Linked DNA regions of Drosophila melanogaster. The protein of the gene in region 2 interacts with the protein of the main gene of each other region in a biochemical or structural test. Each region holds a gene or a part of one and is shown on either strand. Other genes may lie near its edges. The genes, in order: fray and Wnk.

Evidence for each region.
Region 1: of the proteins of Wnk (region 2) and fray, one has a biochemical effect on the other in vitro, tested with the Drosophila melanogaster proteins (2 studies listed by BioGRID).

Annotation. Positions count from the first base shown.
Region 1 is NT_033777.3:18,579,274-18,584,345, reverse strand, and holds the start of fray (frayed), read right to left. Parts: upstream 3,131-5,072; 5' UTR 2,876-3,130; coding exon 2,842-2,875; intron 2,068-2,841; exon of another isoform or gene 1,992-2,067; intron 1,763-1,991; exon of another isoform or gene 1,641-1,762; intron 1-1,640.
Region 2 is NT_037436.4:21,551,894-21,556,962, forward strand, and holds the start of Wnk (Wnk kinase), read right to left. Parts: upstream 3,036-5,069; 5' UTR 2,661-3,035; exon of another isoform or gene 2,488-2,660; intron 2,288-2,487; 5' UTR 2,251-2,287; coding exon of another isoform or gene 2,132-2,250; intron 1,701-2,131; coding exon of another isoform or gene 1,226-1,700; coding exon 311-1,225; intron 80-310; coding exon 1-79. Other genes in the region: CG7173 (uncharacterized protein), read right to left, coding at 3,758-3,792, 3,859-4,048, 4,398-5,069. UniProt on the Drosophila melanogaster protein: Serine/threonine-protein kinase component of the WNK-SPAK/OSR1 kinase cascade, which plays an important role in the regulation of electrolyte homeostasis and regulatory volume increase in response to hyperosmotic stress.

The DNA.
Region 1 (5,072 bases), on a different chromosome or scaffold from region 2:
TGCGAGCATCGGATACCCTACCACTAAATAATTTCGTCTTAAAGCTTTGCTTTCCAGAATTCTGCGGATTTAAATGTCTTATATAGATTCTTAAATCAAGATCTCCACGAATATGGGGGTTAGTACTTTGAAATATGCATAAGCCAAACGACTGAAGGGTATTATGCTAGTGTGGAAAGCTGAAACTAGAAATATACAAAAATAAATTTATTGAGTAAATATCAACAACAGAAAAGAAGGGCGGTGGGGCGGGGGTGCTGGTTGAGAATGAGGAAGCAGAGAGGTAGAGAGCGCCAGTGAGAGCGGGTTAAGAGCCGCACAGTGGGCGTCATAGATGAAAACTATCTGTTATTAGCGATAAAAAATTGTTTCGATAAAAAAAAAAATTGAATAAAAACTGTAATTTCAAAATGCTAAATATGAACCTCAATTTTGTTTCTGGTAAAAATAAATTGGAATAATAGTTCAAAAATATAGAAACTACTTTTTTCTACATTCCATGTTATTTGCACGATGTTTAGGCGATGCTGACCCACTGGCAATTGCACAATTTGTAAGGTTTTTCTTTTGTTTGCCCCCACCAATTTTCCCTGCGCCTCGTGTACTCGGATTTTATCAGCTCTGACGCGCACGATAAGTTAAAAAGTTTCCAGCGGCAATAATAACAACAAGCGAGAACAATTAGCAACAATAAAGACCCAGAGTCCCAAAAAGTGGAGCATAGATACAGCAGACATATGTATGTGCTTTCCATACCGCACCCAGATACAAAAGTGGAATCCAGTATCTCACTCTCTCTCGCTTTTACTCTTTTTCCATTCCGTTATCTTGCTGGGCAAGATAACTGGGTTAACATACTGGAAAGGGGGTTAATTTGTGGGGGGAAGCCCGCACAGTCATCATGGAAAATTCATAAATTGCATCCACAACAGCCCATCCATAAAACCCAGGCGGACATCTAGATAGATACAAATGTATCTATAGGTTGATTATGGGATCGTCAGTTTGCATTTGGCCATAGCGCTAAATTCTGTTCTGCTCTGCATAAAAATGCGCCATGGTCGAAGAACGAAGACTGAAGACTTATAAAAATAAGATATTCGCGCGCGCACACACACAATACTGATACTGATTTTTGCGTGGTCTATTTATTTTTAGAACGTCTCCGTCTCGTTGGCTATTTGCATATAATTTCCAATGCAGTTCGGCCATGGCAAAGTGTCTCGCCGTGCGGAAAGAGGCAGGTTTTTGGGTGCGTATGAATCCAAATGGATCGGAAAATGGAAAGCAGCTCAAGAGAAAGATTCGAAATATACTCTATTCTAATCTTAAACAAAATTGTGTTCAAGAATTTGCAAAAGGTTTGGTTACCACATTCAAAGTTGTTTGGTAATACTTAGAGTGGCTCTGAGCATTGGTAAAGTATTTGGTAACTCTTTTATTTTTTAAATAAATTTAATGTAATACTGCGATTTTCAATTGAGTTTTCGTATAGCTTGTGTTACTTCTGTTAATGGTAGTAATTAACTATAAATTGTTTCATTCAAAACAATTAACGAAATTTTCCACACATATAATTATAATTTAGGTGTACTAAAGTTGGCAATTTAAGAATCAGCGTGATTCAGTTACCTAATCACCTCACAATCCAGCTAATGGATCCTCTCATTAGCTCAGGTAAATGAATACGCATAAATATCTCATTCGCTTAACACATTTTCCGTTTATTGCACTCTGTTGCGTTTTGCAAATATGCGACAGCCTTAATATAGAAGAATCAGATAAATTACAAAAATACACGTGAGTGTATTTATAAAACGTCTCGATGGAAATGAATTTAACGACATTTGTAATTTCAATATTGACACATTAACGAGTTGCTTGAACTTTGAATTGCAGTTGCAATATCGCTTCGCATTAATTGTTGACACAGTTCGCACTGCAATCGCGCGCAAGAATGAAATACAAATGACTAGATACTATATCTATACTATGTATGTATCCGTTAGTTGAGTAGATGAGTGCGCGGCTATGAGTACTGAGCCGTGCCAAGTGCCCAAAGTGACTGTTTGTTTAGATTAGATTTTTAATTTGGCCGATGCCAGCGACTTTTCAGCACGTCATGTGGAAGAAGAGTAATTGATTCCTGGTTTTTGCATTTAGTTGCTGTTCTGATTTGGGAATATAGTATTTGTACTGGCATTGATGAATTCATATAGCGCATACTCATTTCGATCTTTTCGTGTTTTGGTTCTCGCTGTTGGTTCCAAATGATCAACAAATTTAAGAACTTTTCACAGGATATACTATAATACTGCATATACTGACAAAATTTGGAAAATCCCCTGATCTATGTATTTTGTGAATCCTCAACTCTCTTTGCTCAGTAAGTGTTTTTGCTTTGGAAGCCAAATAAATCCTAATAAAGTCGTTTTTGCTGAGTAAATTATAAATTTCGTTGTGACATGTTTATAAGCTTTTTGTGGCAATTATTTTTTAATAATTATTTAATTATCCCGAACCCGACTGGATATAAATCACAAGCAGTATAACGGGGATTCCCCTGACCGAATTCAGTTTTGGCAATTTAAGTTGGTTTGCCAAATTCGCATTTAAAATTCACACTCCTATCTATCAAATAGGTATCATTTATTTAGCTATTTGCATAAGGATACGTGAATACACGCACATACAGTATTTTTGGATTATAAATGACAAATGTGGAAAATAACTTTCGGCGATAACATGAATTTCAAATTAGTTTGTGCTTGTGATTTGCTGAAAAGTTGAGTGTCGTAATCGTGATTTATATAGTTGGATTTTTCAAAAATTTCAACCCACTTTGCTTGAGGCACACTAAATTCAGCAACTGCATTTTGTCTGGTTGTCACTATTTTTTTTTCTCAAGTTCTGAAATGATTTTAGTTCTGGCTGTAAATTGCTTTTAAGCCAAGATCTTTAGCCACAGATGTAGATTCGATCACACGCGACACTCGAGAATGACTGAGTTGAGTTATCAACGGAACTGCGATTGGGATTCGATCCGATTGCAGTTCGCCAAATCGCATTGCTCGCGATCGCTGAATGGGCCGCTCCTCCAGCGCGAAAATCACAAATTCGACTGAACTTCACAAATCGTTGTAATCAAACATTTAAAATGAACTGTTTTTTCCACCCCCTCCCCTTTCCATCCATTGCTTTCGTTTCGTTTAGCAATAAACAACAATAAAATTAAATGAGCTCTACAAATGGCGGAACACGACGACAGGCGATACTATATACTATAGTAAAAACGCCGTTGCCGATCGACGAAATAAACGTACGAAATGTGCGAAATTTTGCCGCCTCCATCAACGCGCGTTGGCGTTAGTTAGTAGTAGTTAGTATCCGCCTCTGTATCCCCATCGGTGTCTTTGTATCTCTATCTGTATCTGTAACACCAGGTGTATCTATGTATCTACGTATGTCGGTTGACGTAAGCTCGGATTTGCCGGGCTTTATGGCCAAAGCCCAGCTGATAACTAACATGCATGAGTGATTGCCTTGGCTTCCACTTAAAATTTAAATACCTTCGGCAGGGGATTTTCGGGAATTTGCATAGGCAATTGTTCCTAGTTCCGTTCTAGCGGGTTCTACAAATTTCGTTTGATACGAAATAGAAAAACAACATATCACCAACTTTTATAATTAACAGGAAGTCCTTGTGTCGCGAATTGTGAGTAAAAGTTGCTTTTTACAAGTAAGTACTAGGATATTCATAGATCTATAAATGTAGATTCTTCATATCTTGGAGATACAACGTATCTCTTTCTATCCTCAAGAGGACTGTCTTTGGTAAGACCTCTCTTTTCTTATAGACGTCTTTCAACCATGTTTACCCTGGTTTTTAGCAGCACTGTACCCAGGTAATTCTTCTTCATCGACAAAGACATGCGCAAGTTTGATGTTATTATTATTTTAGCAATTTGCATACGGCTTATGGGATGTGTATTTTTAAATTCTTGTTTATAGTCAAAGTGTGCTGCCTTATTTTCCTACTTTTTGCTTTAATCTTATTTTTAACAAGGGAATTTGTTGTATCCAAGCCAACAGAGCTTGTGTATCGAAATGTGTGAAATCTGTCAGGCTGTGCAAAATCGTAAATATATCTATAATTGTACGCTGGGTTACTTTTTATGCGCACCGGCGATTCGAGTCAAGTGATCGAACGCCCTCAAAAAGTTTTGACACTCGAAGAGCGCAAAAAAAAAAGAAGCCGAAAAAACCAGCGATTTAATTAGCGCCCAATGCCATTCGACACGTGTGTGGGTGGGCCAAAGGTTGAACCCCATATTCCTGAGCCCCAAATATTTCGCTTTCTACATACATATGTAGATATACTACTCACAATACTAATACTAGGCGTTGGTCATAAACTCTGTGAAATTTTTCACTTGCGTGACGTCGGTGACATCAAAATGAGGAAAACTCATTAATGACCACGAGCTGGGGGCCAGCTATGATGAATGAACCGAAACGAACCTATTTAGTATACTAAAAACTACAGTGGATATACTTTTGTATATTTGTATACAACCAGCTATAGAAAAATATTATTAAAATGCATATTTTCTTTATAGTCTTGTACTAGTAAAATGTTTTCTAAGCAATCGAGATACATTTAATGAACAAACTTGCTTTAAAAAGTCTAATACTATAAAATCCCATGAAAGATATATTTTTAAAAGTATATTGCAGATCGACGCGTTGTTCGTGAAACTCTATACATTTGTATAAACAAATGCGCATAGTATATTTCTTAAAAAAAATTCAAAATATGTGCCATGTGCCATCGCCCATCAGCGAAATCAATGCTCACATGCTCGGTTCAATTTGCTGGTCAACATCTCATGTGATTTCTGCTCAGTCGGTCGATTTCTCAAGGCAAGGACGTTTGGGACTTTTGCACTCGCAAGTCATTTTTTCGCAAGAAATTAAAAATAAAAAAACAGCAGTAAATAAATCAATATTCTTGTACGCAAAACATTTTGTCGAGCTCGAGGGTATTTCAGTTCATTGAGTTCAAAAAGCTG
Region 2 (5,069 bases):
TGTTTGGGTGCTGAAGTTTCTTCAGCATGTCTGCCTCCTCGCGAAATCTAGTACGTTCACTTTTTTTTACTTGCTTGTCCTGTAAAATAGGTAAATAAAATTGTACATTTTCATGTTACCTAATGATTACTTTAATTGTGATGATCCATTATATAAAAAAGATTACTCAATCAAAAATTCATGATAATTATTATCTATCTGATAACTTGCTTATGCAAGCTTGTGATCATGTTTGCTTTGACTAATAATAATAATACTTATACATATGCCCAATGGCACAACAATAAACTTAAGAAGTTTTTTATCTTACCAATAACTCGCACCAGGCAACTGGAACACCAGTCAACGTGTCCAGGCCACGATAGACAGTTTTAAAGGAACCGCGTCCGACTTCCTTATCGTACTTAAAGAATCGTCCGCACGGCGACATGGCCACCGGATCATCGTCCTCATCGCTCTTACTCTTGGTTATCGATGTAGCTGAAGATGTGGTGGAGACCAGCGACGTGGAGGGCAGGGGAGATGCAGATGCATCTGTCGAGGACCCGGTGACAGCAGCTTCCTCTGCGCTAGCCTCGGAGCTCTCCGCTTTTTTGGTTATGTCGTCGAAGCTCTTTGCCTGCTTTTCGCTCTGAACTTCGGTATCGTCCTTATCCTCTACTTGAAAGCCAACTCGTTTTACGCCGCTTGAGTGCTTGGTAGAAGACTTCAATGGCACATCGTCTTCAGTCTTTTCGATTGTAAGACTCCGTGACGCTTCGGTTATAATGTTGTCGATGATTCCGGCCACATGGTGGGAAGTGGCATCCGTAGCATTGGAGCGCGTAGGCGTGCGGAACTGCTCCTCCAGATGCTCCGCCTCGCGGGAAAGCATCTCGATGTTGTCGTCATAGTCACGAGGAAACTCTGTCTCGAGTTCAACGAACTGCAGTGGATTGGTGTTCCTGCCTGACTGTTCCACATTTTTACGGACGAATCGAATGTTTTGCACGAAGTTCGCCGTCAAAGTCGTTGGCGTGGTCTTTGACGAGTGCAGTGGCGCCTGCTGCTTGATCAATGGCTCGATCACCGTGTCCGAGGAGGACTTTCTGGCCTCCATTTTCTTGGTGTCTGAAACAACCGCTTGCGACGTCCCCTTGACTGACTTGTCTTTTTTAGGTTTGCCCGAAGTAAGACCAGCTTTCTGGTTGCTTATGGCATCTGCAGGTTCTATTTTGCTATCCATTTCGTCCTCATTCTGTTCCCTGCTCTGGTTGTCCTGAGAGCAAAGCACCTCTACATCGGTTGATTGCTGTTTGCCTAAATCGCCGTTGTTGTTATCGTTGACTTTCGGTACGTCGTCCACGTTTTTCGGGCTTGACGCCGTTTTGCCGGGAAGGGTGTTATTTGAAAAGCGTCTTAGCACCCGCACAAATAGGTTACTTTTGCTGGCAGCTGGTGGTGTAGGCGTGGTGTTCAGCGTGGGTAGAGAAGAAGCTGGCTCGATAGGTGATGACTGGATTGAAGTGGTGCTGCTAGTGCTCGTGTGTGCAGAAAGTGTGCCCTGCTTGCAAGTGGGCTTTCTGTTTAGTGTGTCTTTTAGTTTTGATGTCGGGTTCGGCTTTTGCCTAGAGGAGGCAGATCTATTAAACGAACGGTGTCCCGACTTTTGTATATTAGCTCCCTGCACAGTTTGCTCCTCGCTAGAAATTGAGGTATTCCTAAAAGAATGATAGAAGTAGTTGATTAGATTCTATAGACTCACAGGTACAACAGTCGAGTTTTCCACAGTTCTCAGTAAACTTCCTTCCAAGAACATTTTATAAACATTCGATAAACGAAAAAACGGTTTCAGTTTACGTGTTGTTTATCTAGTAAGTTTTGCTTAAAACAGAGACGTTGAAGTAACAATTCCAGTTGAAGCATATTTAAAAATTAGTATCCTAGGGAAACAAATCCTTTGTAGGATACTTGGTCAGTTTAACACACTACATACAAGGATATTTTAAACCAGCTTTTACGTTATTTAGGCATATATGAAACAACGATTGTTACTTCAATCATTTTTTGTTATGTGCCCTGATTTAAATAAAAACAATATTTAAATAAATAGAGATATTCCCTAAATGTTTTGGCAATGACTCCAACTCACCTTTGAGGTTGCGTGGTGCAGGAGGTAGTACCATCTTCGCTGATGGCGCTTCCCTTCCGAGCACGGTTCGCAGGTACGACCTCTTGTTGTCGTACGAAGTCGCAGAGGGTTTGTCCAATTTTGCAAGATTTTTAGCAGCAGACCACCACGTTTAATCTGAAGCGAGAGGCAAGGCGGTGAATGAGTACATGAAGGCATGGAGGAATGGAGCAAAGGTTAAATTCCGGCACTATTGACAGGAGGAACTGGCTTGGACTGGGGCAGAGACATGGGCAGGGGCAGGAGCAGGGAAAGGTGACCATTCCCACACCCACTTATGTTCGTTGCTTGGTGCCGACGTCTGAAATATCGCTTACAGCTGGGTGGAGGAGGTAGTGGCGCCGTCTCCAGGAGGCCGAGGTGTGCGCTTTCCATGAATCACTAGTTTCGATTGCACTACGTTCGTCACTGGCTCTGCCGTTCCACTCTACTCTGTTCTGTTCTGTCGCGAGGGATATGTGCGTATGTGCGGTACGCTGGCTATACATACATATTTATGTACATTTGATTCGGGACAGGAAGCATATGCAGCGACTATGATGTCATGTTTCCACGCCGCTCCTTCCGGAAGTCCTTCGCTCGACGGGATCGTGCTCGAGTTGGGGATTTACGACCGGGACGGGGTCTAGGGCTCGCACTGCGACTGTCGGATCGTTCGCATCGAGGATTTCAATTTGTGATTGTGGTGTTCAAAGGCAATTCGAGCTAGCAAGCTTTCATATTACGGCACGGGGGATTGGTAAGTCTTTCGGGAGATAGTGTCACCTCCACAAGGGGGGTCAATTGGATTGAACGCGTGCGAGAGTCAGCGGAAAATTGAAGTTATTTCGCCAGAAGTTCCCTTTACTTTCACAAAAAATTTTACAAAGCAACTGGGTTTACTTGTGTTCGTGATCTATCGATAGCGCATATTGTTACACAAGTGTTATCGGCGGTGATGCCACCCAAGCTACCAGCTTGCCTAATATATATGTTACGCATTAGCAGAGATGTTACCTGGCCTCTGTTAACTTGAACAGTAGACCGTTACTCTTCGAACGAGTTATAACATTGTTAAGAATACTGTATAACCTTTAAGCATTAAGCCACTTTTTTAAATTTCATTTTGCCTGCCATAATGAAACAGATTACAAACAGATTACAGCTGTAAAAACCACACCTAACAAAGTCTTAATAAATTCCAAACCCTTATACAGGTTTCCCTTATTCAGCAAGAAGATGCTCCTGTCTCTTTTGTTTTGCCCCTAAGGCAAAAAGCCCAGATAGTCTCTTATTTTATATATATAAATATGATTTTCGATAATGTTTTCTTGCAATTCGTTAATTTATTTATTATAACTAACTTCTCTGAATGATTTTTGAGATACATACAAATATATTGTAGAACTTAAATATACATGCACTAATAGTTTATAAGTTATCACTTTAATGAATAGGAAAGCTATAAGTGCACGATATTTTTATACGTGAACAACAAATCAAAATCACTTTTTACAAAACCCTACATTTTACCATTTCCACTAAATTTGCATATTTTGTAATCGCTAGAATAAATTAAATTAAAACAGTTTTTTATTTTATTTTAGTTTAAGAGCAAGATCCTTTACTCTTAATCGTCACACCTGGAATAGAACATGTTGGTTTAAAATATATACAGACAATACATATATTGGGTATGAAACTCTTACTTATATTGAGGCATGACGAATAGCACTGCAGTTGGGTTTCGCCCGTGTACATGTATCCGTCGGATCCACAGATTATTTCATCGTTTTCATCGTACACATTAGCACATATCTTCTCGCAGTAGTTTTCCGTGTCCTTTGGATCGTCAGGAGTAGCTGAACTCGTCACAGTGGGCACCTTTGGAATATCTTGCTGAAATGGGCAAATTTAAAATTAAAAATGTAAGAGCTAAATTCACAGCAAAAAGAATTTGATCTTATTAGGAAAAACTGTTACTGGTATTTGATGAGTCGTATAATTTTTGTAGCTTGAGTTGATAGAATCAACTATTTTTTTAAGTTTATTTTTTCAAAGAAGAGTACTATTTTAAACCCGTAAACGATTTGATCGAAATTAAGTACTCACTAAATCGCGTAAAAATCATTATAAAATGCCTTAAAGGTTGGAAGTGCTTGTTTTTGTGGCCACTTTTTGGCCAACAAATATGCTAGCTTATATAAGCTACTTGCGGTTTTCACATTTATTGAGAAACAGAACCAACCTGCTTTCCACTTTCAGTGTCGGAACTATCCTCTGGGTCATCGGTGTATTCCTTAATGGGCTTGCTGAGTTCAATCTTCGGGGCAGGAGATTTCGCGGGCTCGCGGGGAGCTTGGGCCACGGTTTCGTAGTAGTACTGATTGGCTTGCGGGGCTTGGGTGTACTTCATCGATCCCCTTATGGCATCTTGCTCGGTGAACTCGAATCGCAGAGGCTCCGGGGTAAAGCTCTTGTGGGTCTTGGCGAGGTGCTGGCTCTTCGACGGCGATTGAGTGGTGGTCTGGACCGCCATGGGAGTAGAGACCACATGCTTAACGGCTTTGTTGCCGTCGGACTTGACAACGAAGACATCCTGACCTGCCTGGTAACTGCCGCGAACCACTGCGGAATTCGCAGGAGCGGGATCTTGCTGGTAGAACAAGTCGGACACTTGTATGGGCTCATTGTAACTGGAGGAGACTGAGTTGTCTAGGCCAGCAGTTTTGTAGGGAACATGTTGCTGCAGCGCTTGTTGCTGCTGCGGCTGCTGGTGCTGCGGTTGCTGATGCTGCTGCTGTTGTTGCTGATACAGTTGCTGCTGCTGCTGCTGTCTGTATTGCTGTGGATATTGGTGGAGCAGCTTCTGCTGGTCCCGCTCGGCGTCCAGTTTCTTGAAGTCAGGATCCCTCTTGGG